Linked DNA regions of Nothobranchius furzeri. The protein of the gene in region 3 interacts with the protein of the main gene of each other region in a pairwise test. Links are inferred from orthologs where the notes say so. Each region holds a gene or a part of one and is shown on either strand. Other genes may lie near its edges.

Evidence for each region. The genes of interacting proteins can lie anywhere in the genome.
Region 1: the proteins of lipid droplet assembly factor 1 (region 3) and cacfd1 interact in binary tests that used the Homo sapiens proteins (3 or more experiments, as listed by UniProt). The two-hybrid records come from large-scale screens. The link is inferred for Nothobranchius furzeri from reciprocal best matches to the Homo sapiens genes LDAF1 and CACFD1.
Region 2: the proteins of lipid droplet assembly factor 1 (region 3) and gad2 interact in binary tests that used the Homo sapiens proteins (3 or more experiments, as listed by UniProt). The two-hybrid records come from large-scale screens. The link is inferred for Nothobranchius furzeri from reciprocal best matches to the Homo sapiens genes LDAF1 and GAD2.

The regions. Positions count from the first base shown.
Region 1 is NC_091746.1:61,747,448-61,752,520, forward strand, and holds the start of cacfd1 (calcium channel flower homolog), read left to right. Parts: upstream 1-1,847; 5' UTR 1,848-2,240; coding exon 2,241-2,449; intron 2,450-2,491; exon of another isoform or gene 2,492-2,623; coding exon of another isoform or gene 2,624-2,640; intron 2,641-3,337; coding exon 3,338-3,468; intron 3,469-4,140; coding exon 4,141-4,213; intron 4,214-5,073. Other genes in the region: ptcd2 (pentatricopeptide repeat-containing protein 2, mitochondrial), read left to right, coding at 408-629. UniProt on the Homo sapiens protein: Transmembrane protein which mediates synaptic endocytosis and fitness-based cell culling.
Region 2 is NC_091747.1:58,589,918-58,595,201, forward strand, and holds the start of gad2 (glutamate decarboxylase 2), read right to left. Parts: upstream 3,227-5,284; 5' UTR 2,554-3,226; coding exon 2,478-2,553; intron 2,312-2,477; coding exon 2,249-2,311; intron 2,129-2,248; coding exon 1,985-2,128; intron 1,594-1,984; coding exon 1,360-1,593; intron 599-1,359; coding exon 508-598; intron 1-507. Other genes in the region: myo3a (myosin-IIIa), read right to left, coding at 4,283-4,397. UniProt on the Homo sapiens protein: Catalyzes the production of GABA.
Region 3 is NC_091752.1:57,003,461-57,008,736, forward strand, and holds lipid droplet assembly factor 1, read right to left. Parts: upstream 3,371-5,276; 5' UTR 3,249-3,370; intron 2,234-3,248; 5' UTR 2,224-2,233; coding exon 2,146-2,223; intron 2,045-2,145; coding exon 1,876-2,044; intron 1,767-1,875; coding exon 1,621-1,766; intron 1,547-1,620; coding exon 1,499-1,546; 3' UTR 1,040-1,498; downstream 1-1,039. UniProt on the Homo sapiens protein: Plays an important role in the formation of lipid droplets (LD) which are storage organelles at the center of lipid and energy homeostasis. In association with BSCL2/seipin, defines the sites of LD formation in the endoplasmic reticulum.

The DNA.
Region 1 (5,073 bases), on a different chromosome or scaffold from region 3:
TGGATGTGATATCAGCCAGAGCTTTCTTATCAAAATGAGCTGAGTTCTGGATGTAAAAGAATTTGGTCTGCGTTAAACTATGAAGTTGTTATCGTCAGAAGCACATTCAGGCGCAATCTCTCTGTGCTCTACCTCACCCTGTGATGTCATGGTGGTCTTTTCTGGAGGAAGAGTGGGGAGCCCAATAATTTTTCCAGTGGTGGTTATGGCCCCTTCTGGCCACCTCTTGAGGGTGCCACTGCCTACAAGTAACTTAAATGCAGGGAATGCTCCCATAAGCAGTGTTAGCTTGGTTCTGTAATCCGGTCAGTGGAAAATCACATCAAGTTTGAGAAACATCCAGATTGTTTCATAATCATTCAGAACAAAATGATAATCGACTCCGTGACTTCTCATCGCTGCTTCAGGTGGATTTGCTTCGTTTGCGGAGCGACGGCAGGCCAATTAAAGGGAAAGTAGACGAGATCGTAACTCAGCTGGAAAGAGGCGGTCAAGTGACTCAGCAAACCCTTGATGAGATGCTGTGTCATGCCCCCACTGGGAAGAGGAAACCGGCGCTGTTGGAGGAGGTGAGCAGGAAAAGCCGAAGGACTCTGAGACCTCTTCAGTTCACTTTGTTATCAGAGTGAGTCCTGGACCAAGTCAGAATCGGCCGACCTGTATGTTCATCGTGAGCTGATACGGACCGTCAGGGCTCTTCTTGTTGCCTCATTTCTATTATCAGTGTTCTAGATTCACTTCTGAAGCAAGCACAAAGATGTAGAGGAGAAAAACGCACTAGAATGACCATTTTATTTTCCTTCTACATGATAAAACTTCCACACCCTTTACAACAGAGTATCAGCTGTAACTAACTTATATCTAAGCTGCCCTTAAAGAAATCTGACTAAGTTCACACTTGTGTCATTTAAAGTTGTTGGCAGGTACTTTATTTAAATTGCATATGTAAATCTAAGGTAGCATATAGTCTTGAGTGGTGTTGGTAATCTGCAGATACATTATCAACCTGAACACCCACAGTCTGCAGGCATGTCTTTGGACTCGTGGCTTTCCTGACACAACTAAAAATGGTCCCTGGAAGAAGAGAAACATCATGTTAGATGTGCTTGCTGATAAATGTCAGGAGTCCTTTTCTGAAACTGTGTTTGAACAGACTCTGGGAGTGTAAATGAGAGATGTGTGAGACGACGTATGAAAGGTTTAGTAATAAAAACAAAAGAAAAAGAATAAAGGAATGCTTTTGTTTATTTCATGTTGTGCACTCAATTTGAAGTCATTATCTTAAAGATCTATTTAGTTTTTCAAAGAGAGAAGAGGGATATTTATTTATACAAAAATTAATGAAATTGAGTCCAAGTTTAGGTTTTTTGATGTTTTCAAATCTTAAACCTTATTTTTTTATCTTCCACATTTAATTCACTTTCTTTTGTTGCACAAATGTTTAATGCAGCTATCTGGAGGACATTAAGTTTATAGGTGCACCTTAAACAACCAAGTAAATATTTTATTTTGGATATTTTTCTATTTCTCATTCTGAAACACATAACTCAGTGATTTCTGAAAGTCCTGTATGAGGTATGTTGGGCAGTGGGTAGATATCCTTTAATACAAATAGCTGTTATTTAACTTTTAAGAATATTATGAATGTGGTTTTATAATTACCGGTATAGCATTGTGCTTTGTGTACAGTTTCTAAACAAGTGAGCATTTTGACCACATCTTTTTTATGCATATATCCAACCCCATACTGTGGATGCTATTTAAGTATATTTCTTTCCTTTTGAAATATAAGTTGCTTTTATTTCTAAATTTCAAGATATTATTCCCAGTTTAACTAAATTTCATTTTACATTTAGTTGTGTGATGATTACACACACACACACACACACACTTGTCTTGTATTTGTTGTGAGGACCGTCGTCCATTCATTCTACTGACTGGATTGTGCCTAACCATACCCAGTCTATTCCTAACCCTAACCTTAACTTAAACTTAGGCCCTGTCCACACGTAGCCGGGGATCTGCCAAAACGTAGATATTTTCCTACGTTTTGGCCTGTCATCCACACGAAAACTGAGTTTTTTCACACGAAAACGGATCTTTTTAAAAACTCCGGCCAAAGTGAAGATCTGCGTTTTCTCCGTTTTGGGTGTCTGCGTGTGGACAGACACAAAACCGGAGTTTTAAGGTCCGCAACGTCACTTTCCGCGACACAAAAATGCTGACATCACGTGTGCGACATGTGTTTACACTATCCGGCATCACGGAAGCCTTCAGAGCTGCGCTCTGTCACTACCCGATCCATCAATTGTCCAAGCGCTTTCTGCTTGTTTGTTTTTGCAAGCGGAATTACTGCTCCTTGCGGAAGACCACAGACGAAGGATGAGGTTAAGAACGGGGGAAGTACTGCCGCCTACAGGTCTGGCATGTCCTTAACGTATTTATCTGGGTACGTGTGGACAGTTTGTTTTTAAAACGCGGTGGTGTGGATGCAAGTTTTTGGAGGGGCGGATATTCGTTTTTAAAAAAACCCGGCTACGTGTGGACTAGGCCTTAATTCACACCATACCTGAAACTGATGAATAAAGCTATGTAACACTAACCAAAGTGATAGCCAGGGAAAATGTCCTCAGTTTGCAGGTAAAAAGCTTGTCATTGGTCCTCACTTTGATACATAGACAAATACACACACACGCACGTGTTCATCTGTGATTTTTTTACACACAATTCCTTTGTAAAAATAAATCTGATTTGTTGTTAGAGACTAACAATTGTTCACAAAATCTATCAATATTGGGAAGTTTTCATCCCATTCTCTTATCTAAGAAAACAAAAGATCACCCCATTCCTTTAACCCTCCCACTGTCTTTATGGGTGACCCCGCGAGGAAAGTTGACCACTGAGCACACCCATCATCAGGACAGTGGGAGGGTTAAGGGTTAAACATACTTTACAGCATTCATGTAAACAAATATGACGCACATCAAGTGCCTCCCACAATGCACCGCGCCCGTCGGGCAGAGCAGAGCTACGTCCCTGAAGAACAACTAAACCGCTCATTTCTACCGGACCAGACTTGTGTTAACTTGTTGAAATAGTTAGGAAGCGCACTAAAGTTCTTTATTTCAGTTTAAGAGACCGAATGAGAGTCGAGGATACGTGATATCCACTCCTAGCGGCAGCTGGTGGCGATGCTTCTGACCATCAGCTAGCCGCTTAGCTAGTCGCCAGTGACGGGAGAAGCTGCTGGTGACACCCGGCATCAGACACGAAAACAAAGGGAGGAAGAAAGTAGACTGAAGAAAAACGGGTATTTGTGAAATTGGGTTTTGTGTAGCTTTAGGAAACGCAACACAATGAGCACCGAAGAGACAGCAGCCCCCAACAAAGCCGCTACTCCTGAAGATGATGGCATGACTTGGTGGTATAGATGGCTCTGCAAGATAGCCGGCGTTTTGGGAGGAATATGTAAGTAGATGAGCAATCCCACACAAGCCAAACCTTTAGCTACACGTAGTTTAATTATTTTCTGACACGTGTGAGAAATCTTTGTCATTTTCTCTCGACTTTACGTTAATTGTGAGGCTGAGAGCAGACTGATCTGACTGCAGCAGCCTCTGTGGGCTTGCTTACTCATCATTAGCTGTTTATTCTTAAATAAAGTGATCATGAACTCAACCGTCTGAGAAAACAGCCAGCTCCGTCTGAGAGTGAGATAGATGTGATTAAATGCTTGAGCTGCAGCCTTTCCAGCAGCATTGCAGCTCAGTGACACCAGAGTCCCTGTATCACATTAACCACTGCATATTCAATGGCTCCTGTATTATTGAGGAGGCTGTATGGTTTAAAGGAGCAGGATCTGCTGTGTGAGGGATAATAGAGGACTGCTCATGTCATGTTTAAGCTGATGTCAGATCCATAAACACAATAAAGATCTTTTTTCTTTTGTGTTTAGATAGATGACTCCCTTTTAGCTGCACAGTGTGACAAGGCTACAACTGGGTAGTGGTTGTATTTTATCTACATACTGTTAGGGTTCGGGTATACTGATTCATTTATTCTAAATGACACAGTTGGTATTGGGTGGGAAACGCTGCTTTGGTTTTACCAATTGTTCCTTGTTTTGTGCTGAACACGCAGCCTGTGCCATCTCAGGGGTGTGGAACTGTGTCACCGTGAACCCTTTAAACATTGCTGCCGGAGTTTGGATGGTGTAAGTACTTACATCTGTCTCACTTTACTGTTTAAATCTTCTTAATCATGTTTCACAAAAACATAATAGAGAATTTAATGTAGTATATTAATTATATGCCTACAAGTCACTCTTGCAGGAACTGTGTAGACTGAACTGTAGTTGGGATGATTCTGTACCTGATGCTTTCCAGAAGGAATGGGAGAAATGGTTGAGAGATTTGGAAAATTTAACAGATTTCCAAATCGGCAGATGCCTTAAGCCAGAAGGGTTCGGAAAGGTAATCGGCGCACAAATGCATCACTTCTCTGATGCAAGCGAAAGTGGGTACGGTACAGCTACTTACCTCAGACTCAGAAACGACAAGGAAGAGATGCATGTTTCATTTCTATTTGGCAAGGCTAGAGTAGCCCCGTTGAAACCTGTTAGAGAAAAGATAAAAAAGAAAAGAAGAAAAACAAGGAGGAAAAAAAAGAAAAAAGGATGGATCAGGGAGTACTTGCTACCAATGCAGGAAAAAAGGGTTAGAAGTGGGAGACATAGTAGTGGTTATGGACTACACCACTCCTAGAGGATCATGGGTGTTAGGGAAAGCCCTTAAAATGTTTCCTGACAAGAAGGGCTTGGTTCGAGTAGTTCGCCTTCAAACCAAGACTAACATTATCGAGAGACCAATAACTAAGCAATGTTTAGTGTGTGAAGGGGAAACTTAGGTTCAAAAGGTATTACGGGTCTTTTGGTTTGTGTGTATTTTATTGTGTATTGTTTTTTTTTTTTTTTTTTTTATAATGGCTCCTGTAATTTAAGTTATTGTAATTGCTATGTCTTCTGCTATGCGCAATTAGGGGCTGGCGTGTAGGAGCCATATGTGTCATTTTCTT
Region 2 (5,284 bases), on a different chromosome or scaffold from region 3:
CATTTTCTGAACCCGTGTAAATTGTTTACACTTTTATTCAAATATCTCCAGATTTTAAAGAATTTTTAAATGCATTAGTATTTTTTACATTATTCTGTAACTAAAACCACTCATGTAGGGAAATGATTGCTGCACATATTTAATTTCAGAAATCTTCCATAAAAAGCCCATTTTTCCATACATATTTATATTTTTACCACTCATTGGTCTTAGCCGCCTCTCTTCCAGCAGCCGTGAGTTTATCACCCTGAAAACACGCACTTAAAATTAGCTCCTGATTAGACTGAATGCAATTTCAGAGGTAATTTTCCTCCCCTTTGAATCCCAGTGGGGATCAGATGTGAAGGGGTGGGGGTGGGAGTAGTGCATTGTGGTTATCTAGGGAAAATAAAAAGCTGCTATCAGCCCAAACAGACGCGGACTGGGTGCACCGGAAATGGGATCCATTGTCATGGTTTTTAAATCAGCTGTGAGGATCCTGCTGAAGCAGCAGGGCCACGTACTCACATGTTGGTGTTGGCAGTGGATGTCAGCCAATCAGCTGCCAGTCCAACCATGTCTAATCCTGTGGAGAGCTGATTGAAGTACCTGGGGTGGGCTGAACGGGAGGAGAGATAGAAGAGGAGAAAAGAGGAGGAGGAGAAGACGAGGAAACTGTAATTTCAAGGCTTTATCAAGAAAAGGAGCAGAGCTGTCATTTTCCAAACGCTTTAATTAGAGTGCAGAAATGCAGCTGCAGCGACGCTTTGGTGAAAACATGTGAGGGTGAGTATTAAAGCACGCAAGAACTGCACCGATGATTTTAAAGAGGAATAAAAATTCACAGCATAAAGGAAATCTAATATAATAAAGCTGCATTTATAACGAAATTAATAAAATAGTTGCATTTTTTATAGAAGAGCTTGACATGTTTCCGTTGCTGTAAATTTCCTTCTGCATGTGTCACTCAGTGAGAATAATGGACTTGGCCTGTGCAGCCGGATTATTAGCCTATTATCTGCCGCCTGCTGAAGCTGATTTACTGCGCCACTGCGTTTATCGGTCTGGTGGCCATGCAGAAGGAAGGACGGCTTCCATGTTGATGCTCTTTTATCATTATGTTTTATTAATCCAATATAAATTACTGCGCATTTGAAATAGTTGCATGATTGTTGCGAAAAAACCATCTCAAAATTACATCAAAACAAAAACAAACAAAAAAGATGTCATGCTTTTATTTAAAATTTACTTTTCAGTTGCAAAATTATTGATTATGTCAAAAATACATGCAGCAGGCCTTCATTTGAACAATGCACCAGTGGGCTTTGCACCAATCAATTTGCGCATCTTTAGACGTGCATTTGAGAAAGCTGCACCTACCAGTTTTGATGGCGTATTTGAGAGTGGCGCGGCAGCTGATCAAGATGTCATCCAGGGTGGCGGGCTCGTCCTGCAGCTCCCAGTTGTTCAGCTGCAGCAGCTCGTTTGGATAGTGAAAATCAATGACTTTCGTTTCCCGGTCGAAAGATTCAACTATGTACGCGAGAAGAAGGTCCACCACCTCCTGCAGGAAGGTCATCGTTTTGGTGTCACCGTCCAAGGCAGGTAACAGGTCTGGAAGAGGTGGGGGTGTCGTTTAAGGATGCAAAACAAATGTGTTTATTACTATTAATGGTTTTGTTTTCGTTTGTGTTGGAGAACCAAAATGCAGCTGAGTACTATTTGAGCTCATCAGATTCAAGGTGAAGGTGACCTCCAAGAGGAAATGATCACACTAAAAACAGAATGTAATTATTTGTTATACCACCACATATTCAGCTTGATTTCCTTGTAGAGCTTTAGGCCTGCAGGTACTTTTTTCTTTTACAAATAACCCAAATATTCACCTTTTAGCTTAGATAATAAAATACAACAGAGTATTTCTGTTTTAGACGAATCAGTAGCAAAATAGCATATTTTATTTTATTTTATTGCATAAAAACACACCGGAATCCGGTTTCTGTACCTGTTGAATAGAGGTCTGAGAAGACCACGTCGGGTTTGGTGCAGGTGCAAGGTTTGTTGCAGCCGCAGCTTCCTGCAGCAGTCTGCGGCGGCTGTTTGGCGGCCGGGTCGGCGGTTTTTTCCACCTCCCCGACGTTCAGCAGCGCTTTGGAGAAACACAAACCCTCCGCATTTTAAATAAATATAAAACAATAACTCAGAATGTGTATATGTGAATAAAATCATTCAATGAAACAGCGAAACGCTCCCATAATCAGTCTCATACCACATAATTTAGATCCAATTCCTCCGGATAATTTCTGGGCCGCCGCTTGGCACCAAGCCCTGGCTGCGAGGCAGACAGAAATAAGTCATGTACTTCTAGTTATTGGTCCAACTTAATGGTAAAAACATAGTAAAAACGCTGGAGCGCAAATAAAACAAGATAATAAAATCAGCACCATGCAGGCCTGTCTGGATTTGGAGACAATAAAAAGAGAAAAGAGGACACTCACGCGTGCTGGGGCTCTGACTGCCGGTGTTGGTCCCCGCGTTATCCCCGCCGAGAGACCAGAACCCGTGTGAAGCCATCGCGGCTGGTAGTTAGGAGATGCGGGAGACACCGGAGACCGACAGAGCCCATTCAAACGCGCCGAGCGGGGAGCTGTTCGAAGCCGACGTGGTGCTGAACGTGACCGGACCTCGCTCCAGAATGTGGCACATCCGACACGCGCTTCAGCAAATAAACCCGAGTGGAAAAAACCCAAAGGCGTCCTCGGTGCTCCTTCTGCGGGCATCCACAGGTGCGCGGTGCATGAAGCTGCGTGTGCGCACAAAGAAATCCGCGAAAAAAAAGGACCCAAACAATCAGCGCACTCTTCAGAGCGCGCTGCACTTTTCTCCACTCAGCAGACACGCAATGAAAAATAAATAAATAAAAAAACTAGCGCTGATGAAGTTAATTATGAAGAGGTGATCACATTTAACTCAAAAACAGTTTGATGTGAACAGCAGCTACATATGCAGCGCGCGTGTCGGGCCTGGGAATTTCACGTCAGCAGAAGAAATTCCATCGTGATTCACTTCAGGGTCATGACGTCGCGTCGTGCGTCGTGACTCCAAACACCCCCAACATTTTGTCCCTTGCGCGCTCCACGTCCTGCCTTCCATAGACCTTCCATAGACACCGAATGCCAACTAGCTCATCTGCGGACCTTATTTCTGGGTTTACCGGCTGCTTTAATTGCCCGCCTCCGGGGATGCTGGGTGTGTGTGTGTGTGTGTGTGTGTGTGTGTGTGTGTGTGTGTGTGAGGGGGTGTTCGGGCCCCTCCTCCTCTGCTGGTGCGCGCATTGCTCCAAAAACACCGATTTTCAGGTTTTATTCTGGATGACTGGCCTGAAATGTATTTGAAAAGCAAACTAAAGTTTAATGTTTTATTATTTAAAATGAATCAACACAATCCAAGATGGCTGCTATGGTCAACTGGCGTGCAAACGCTGAATTAACCCAATAAGGTTCAACTGATTTTGCAGAAATTACTTTAGATCTGACAGTAACTGTCAGCAACGTAACGTCATCTGGTTCGCCAAAAATAAACCCTTTGGCCAGTAGCTGCAGAACAACGTCTATTTTATTATCAATGAATTTTCTTTCCAATTTATTTCCTCTGCAGTTTTTAAATTCAGCATCTGGAGCTCATCTATGGTCGTGTTTGTGTTCAACGTGCACCAAAGGGTTTACCACTGACAACCCCTGTGGGGGTGTTCCTCTTTTTAAAATGTCACATAAAGGTCAGAGGTTGAACCTGAAGAGAAATCACTAGAGCTTGCATTGGATGAACATTATTATTATTATTATTATTATTATTATTATTATTATTATTATTATTATTAATAAATAAATCAACATAAATTCAGCTCTGTTGGGATTGTGATTATTGTATGATGGGTGGTAAAAATATTGATTATTTTACCATAAATTCAACATATTTGGGAAAAAATGGGAATACAACATAATTTATTTATATTTAAATTTACAAATCAGATGTTACAATGAGGATAAAGATGTCTGACATCCAAAACTGATTTAAAAAAGAAAAAGAAAATGTATTAAAATGCAAAGAATTCAAGTATGACAGCATTGTCTGTAATTGTTTATGACCGAAGGGGGAAAAAATGACAGATTTAATGAATGAGCTACAGTATGAATGAATAATTGAATTATTTACAATCTCCAAACTCAGCTATGATCAGTGATTTAACAGTTTCAGTTATACATTTGTGCTGTTGCATAAGCAACCATGTGATGGACATGCTTCTTCAGTAGTGTTTGATGAGCCTTCGTCTCTGAGAGGTCTTCCTCAGCAGATGCCTGAAGTCGTAAGGATTGTCACCACTTCGGCTTTCCATGGAGGACATTCTTGGAACGGAACGCCTGCTGGAGAATCAGAGGAGACAGTTGGGAATTCACCTCTAACACAGATGCAGACTAATAGTGCGATATTTACGGATGTAGAGACTTGGAATTGTGAGACAATACCTAAATCTTTAAAACCAATGACAAAAATGTTTTCTCTTTATTCCGACCCCCCAAGGTGCTTTACAACACAATCAGTCACACCTTGGTGGTGATGAGCTACATTGTAGCCACAGCTACCCTCAGGCACACTGAGAGAGGCGGGTCTGCCGCTCACAGATGCCACCAGTCCCTCCAAACACCACCAGCAGGCAAGGTGAGTTAAGTGTCTTGCCCAAGGACACAACGACAGTGACAGACTGAGCTCGAATCTGCAACTTTCAGATTACGTGCCACCGTTGCCCCAAGATGGCTTCTTTTAAATGGTAAATTGCCTGTATTTGATATAGCGCCTTCTAGAGTCCTGGAACCCCCCAAGCCGCTTTACAACACAATCAGTCATTCACACATTCACACACTGGTGGTGATAAGCTACGATGTAGCCACAGCTGCCCTGGGGCGCACTGACAGAGGCGAGGCTGCCGAGCACTGGTGCCACCGGTCCCTCCGACCACCACCAGCAGGCAAGGTGGGTTAAGTGTCTTGCCCAAGGACCAAGGGCGTCAGTTTGTTTTCAGAATTGCTGGGGACAATAAAGTAGGCTAAGATCTGAGCTGGTAAAACAAAAATCCTCATCAGCAGGCTTTTTTGAAAGTGGGGGGGGGGGGGCACAGCTGCCAATCACAAATTTTGCCAGGGACATGTCCCCGGCGTCCCCGGTTAAAATGACACCTATGCCAAGGACACAACGACAGCGACAGACTGAGCGGGGCTCAAACCTGCAACCTTCCGATTGTGGGGCGAGC
Region 3 (5,276 bases):
GTTTACACTAGCCGACAGCATGGATGCCCTCAGAGCTGCGCTCGCTTTATCAATTGTCCAAGCGCTTTTTGCTTGTTTGTTTTTGCAAGCGGAATTACTGCTCCTTGCGGAAGACCACAGACGAAGGACGAGGTTAAGAACGGGGGAAGTACTGCCGCCTACAGGTCTGGCATGTCCTTAACAACGTATTTATCCGGGTACGTGTGGACAGTTTTTTTTAAACGAGGTGGTGTGGATGCAAGTTTTTGGAGGGGCGGATATTCGTTTAAAAAAAAAAGGCTACGTGTGGACTTGGCCTCAAGCTTAACCCATAACCAATATTCCAGCACCATTTCACCCACTTTCACCTGAAGTGCCAACACAGGAGTCGAATGGAAAGCCCCGTTGCACAACCTCAAGGCCGCTGCCTGCACCACACCCAGTTGCCGCAAGGCTGAGGGGGTCACCGAACCGTACACTAAAACCCCGTAACCCAGGTATGATCAACTCACACCTCTGGGAACCATAAACAGGTTGCTCCTGTCGGCCCTCCAATCAGTCCCTGCCATGACATGAGCTGTAAGGTCTTATATAGACAGGTGTGGCTTTCCTAATCGAGTCCAATCAGTATAAACACAGCTGGACCTCGATGAAGGCGTAGGACCATCTCAAGGATGATCAGAAGAAATGGAAAGCACCTGAAATAAATATGAGTGTCACAGCAAAGGATCTGAATACTTGGGACCGTGTGATTCATTTTTAATTTTGTAAATCTTCATACATTTATAAAATTCTGTTTTTCTGTCAATATGGGGTACTGTGTGTACAATAGTGAGGAAAAACTACATTTAATTGATTTTAGCAAATGGCTGCAATGTAACAGTGAAAATTGATGAGTTTCCGAATAATTTCTGTACCCACTGTGTGTGGCTTACAAAATAAATAGTTTTAAATATAATAGCCACAGTTTTTATGTATACAAAGTTCCCTGGTTCCATTTAATTCTCTACATTACAACACATCAAACTGGTTTAAAAAATAAAAAAAAGGTGCAACTAAAAATGATTCAAAATCATGTTTATTCTTAAAAGCATCATTTCAAGCTGAAGAGTAGCGGTTTTCTCTTTAAAACGGGTAAAAAATACCTAAAATTTATTGGCCATGTAGAAATTTAGCTTTAAAAGTTGAAACACGATAAATAGCTAAACACTGGACCTATTTTACAGAAATCATTTCAATACAAACTCTTATAATATTAACTGGGTCAAAAGAAATCAGTTTTAAAAGCCCGTTTTTGATGAAACATCAAAATCCTGAAGTTATCTTGTTATAAATAATCCAAACATATTGCACGACATACAGATAAAATGTGATGAACCTAGATTGACACTGAAGATTGATTTTTAGCCTTTGTACGTAGAACAACTGTTCCGACAGCAGATCATCTCAGTCAAGTTGCCATGAAGCTGATCAGATCAGATCCTGGATCCCGATCATGTTAGAGGGAGGACGGAGCGATCTACTTCGCCTCCTTCGGTCCAGAAGTTTCACCCTCACTCTGTTTCTCCTGGTTCAGAGGAAGGAAATGATCAAAAGGTTTAAAATACAACTTGGTGAGTGCAGTCAGTGTGTGTGGACTACCGTAGACGGTTGTGAGTAATATTGCTTCAGCAGGTTGGGGATGCTGACGAACAGAGCATTAACGATGACTGAAACCAGCAGAGAGAAGAGAGCGATGCCAGCGAGCACGGACAGCAGAGTCAGCCCTCCAATGAAAAACAGGAACACTAAAAAAATAAAATAAATAAAAAATTAACTGAGAAATAAGTTAAAAAACAAACAAACAAAAGAAAAAACACTCAATCCAGGAGCGGTGTCCAACCAGAAAGTACCAACCTTCAAAGAAAACGAATCCTACAGCTGAGATAACAAAGGTTGTGAGGGCAAACATGAGGAAGATTCCCACAGGCAGAACAGCCATGGCGCTGAAGAGCAGCAGTGTGAAAGCCAAGAAAGGTCTTCTGCAGATGTACAGTCCGATCCTTGTGTTCAGCAGCTGTGCAACCTGTTAAAGACACAACACAGCTGGTCAGAAAGGGATGCAACCAAAGGAAAAGTCAAGATACATAAATAACAAAATAAAACAGGTGAAAGGAGTTGGGATACCTTTGGATCTCCTTGAAGGCGGCTCAGAAGAGAAAGCCATCTTTCCCACAGCTGCTGAATTAACCTGCTGTACCTCATCTCAACACAACTGGATTAGAAGACAAGGAAAGAGACAGATTATAAACCAACCCTGAGACAGAGGATCAGCAGCAGGTACCAGCACAGGATTCAAACACTTAGCACAAATCTCTCCCCAGGACTTCTAAATAATTATAACTCATCAGCCAAGATTGGAATATCAACACAGACTTTGGGTTTTTATTGTGTCCTTATTGTGTTTACTGTATTCTATCAGTTTAGATTAAACACACATGTCTGATCACAATATTAACTGGAATTGTATTATTTATTTGACTTACAAAATAAGCTATTCAACAATAACTGACACATTTTTACATCTTTGGTTTGAGATTAAATCCCAACATAATAGTCTACTGAATCAGGTGGTTTTTCTAAATCTGGGGTCTACAAGCTCTGGTTCAAGGGCCATTCAGGTTCTCTGTCCGCCAGCAGTAGCTCTGACAAATTAATTATATCTACCTTTACAACAAGCTTCATAATGAATTAATACAACATTTGATTAATTCAACTTCTGCTCGCCATAAAGTAAAAATGTAACAGACTTAAGGTATGAAAGAAAGACGTAAAAAAAAATTAAAAAATAAAAAAAACTTCAGAACGTGACAAAAACACAATAAAAATAATTCTTAAAATAAATTACGGCCTTTTAAAAATGTCAAAATATACAATTTTGCAAATGTAATTTCTATGGTAACCCATAATTTAGTGTATGAGTGTAATTTTTATTTAGTTTCTAAAGTTGGGCTGAGTTTATGGGAGTCATCGCTAAAACTGAAAAGATGCGAGCTGAAAGCCCACAGGCTTTTATCTTTTTGGTGTTTCTTTCTTTTAAGAATGGCGGCCAAAACAATCCTTTTCAACAAGACGTGATGAAACGTAACAAACGTAAAACACAAACCCTGGTGGAGGAGAGCCGTGCTCGCGCGCACGTCTCCAGAGAAAGCCAGAACGCTTTTAGGCTCACACCCTCGGCTCACACCTGAACTTTACATATCTAAAGACAGAGGAGGTTTAATACTTACCCTAAAAAAGTGAAAACCTCGTTCGTTTGTCAGCAAAGATCATAAGTCAACGAAACGACCGTCTCTTATACACCATACTGATGAACACACCCATAAAACACACCTCCTTTTTCTGGTCTTCCTCCCCTGGAGTCTGGAGAGACTCTGGTTTGAGGCTTTGCTGCTGCCGCCTTGTGTTTATCTCGGGTATTGCATCCCAGAGTTCACCGAGGATTAAATAATCTTTTGGTCAAAAAAGGACAAAGCCAAGGTAGACGTACAAAATAATAATCTTTAAACTCAACATAAATTAATGCTTTTTAAATGAGTGATCAAGAAGTTTTCAGAAAAGTTGAAAATACTGCTAAATTGTACTAAAATCATAAATTTCATAGTCATAAGAAAGAGCCACTGGATAAATCAAACCACAATTTGTGAAATGTGCCTTCAACAAATATTTCAGCACTTCATTTAAACAAAAGTTGTTTTGCACATCACCAAAGCCTTTGATAAAAAATATATGAAATTGATAATTATGTTTCTTCAAACGTGATAGTATTTATGTACCAAGTCTGGTTTGATTTTTAGTAATACAAACATAAAAATCTGTTGTGGAACATGATGCAGCTGGTGCATTTATCCAGCTAAGGATTTTTGTTCATGCATTAGGTTCAAATTTAATCTAAATGGTGAAATGGTAAATGGCCTGTATTTGATATAGCGCCTTCTAGAGTCCTGGAACCCTCCAAGGTGCTTTACAACACAATCAGTCATTCACCCATTCACACACACATTCACACACTGGTGGTGATGAGCTACGATGTAGCCACAGCTGCCCTGGGGCGCACTGACAGAGGTGAGGCTGCCGAGCACTGGCGCCACCGGTCCCTCCGACCTAAAATGTGTATGCATCTGTTTTACATCAGAACTTCTCCCTGTTATATTTACACCCTGCATGTTTGGAGGGAATTTTGTTAAAAGTGATTTGGAGCTGAAACATCTCCTTTAAACGCTTTTTTGTTAACTGAGCTGAGGTTTTCTGTAGTTTTCCTCCTGCAAAACTGAATTAAGACGGAAAATGTCACCTAAAACATTTTTATAACTTTGAAAAAAATACACAAGAAAATACATGCAACCTTTCCCTACCAAAGAATATATTTATAAGATAAATCAAAGAAAAAAAGTAAATTCGTAATTTTTTCACTATAATCACCAAATTTTAATATTTCTTTACTACCTGACCTTAAAGGCAGAGGCTGGTCCAGGTACGACTGAACTACACTCACTGGCCACTTTATTGGGTACACCTCTCCATATGGTCGATAACATGAATGACTAATCAGCCAATCACATGCATGGTGGCAACTCAATACATTTAGGCATGCAGATATGGATGTCTAAAGATGACCCGCTGAAGTTCACCAACTTCAGAATGGGGAAGAAAGGTGATTTACTTTGAACATGGCATGGTTGTTGGCACCAGAGGGGCTGGTCCAAAAATGGGGAAACATCCAGTGAGCGGCTGTTCTGTAGGTGAAAATGTCTTATTGATATCAGAGGTCAGGGGAGAATGGCCAGACTGGTTCGACCTCATACAAAGGCAACAGAAACTCAAATAACCACTCATTACAACCAAGGTATGCAGAAGAGCAGCAGAAGACCACACCCGGTCCCACTCCAGCTACGAACAGGAAAATGTGGCTACAATTCACTCAGGCTCACCAAATTGGACAATCCCTAGAGGGCTAAGCCCAACCAGCCATTCCTCCCCATCCCCGCATATTTTTCTCCTCCTGCTCCCTCACATCATCACACAAACATGCACATAGGACCTTGGGGTGTGAACAAGTCAGTGAGTGCGGGTATGGACCCCATTTCTGCATTCCTGTGGCAACCTGTCCCCCAATTTTATCTGCACCTTAAACACTTCCACTAACAACATTCCACACAAACACACACTTAGGGCCTTGGGAGTGAGCACATCCAACGGCATTTGGCAGGGGGATTTCTCAGCCTCATCCCAAGTGCCGGTGCCCACTTCCAATTTTA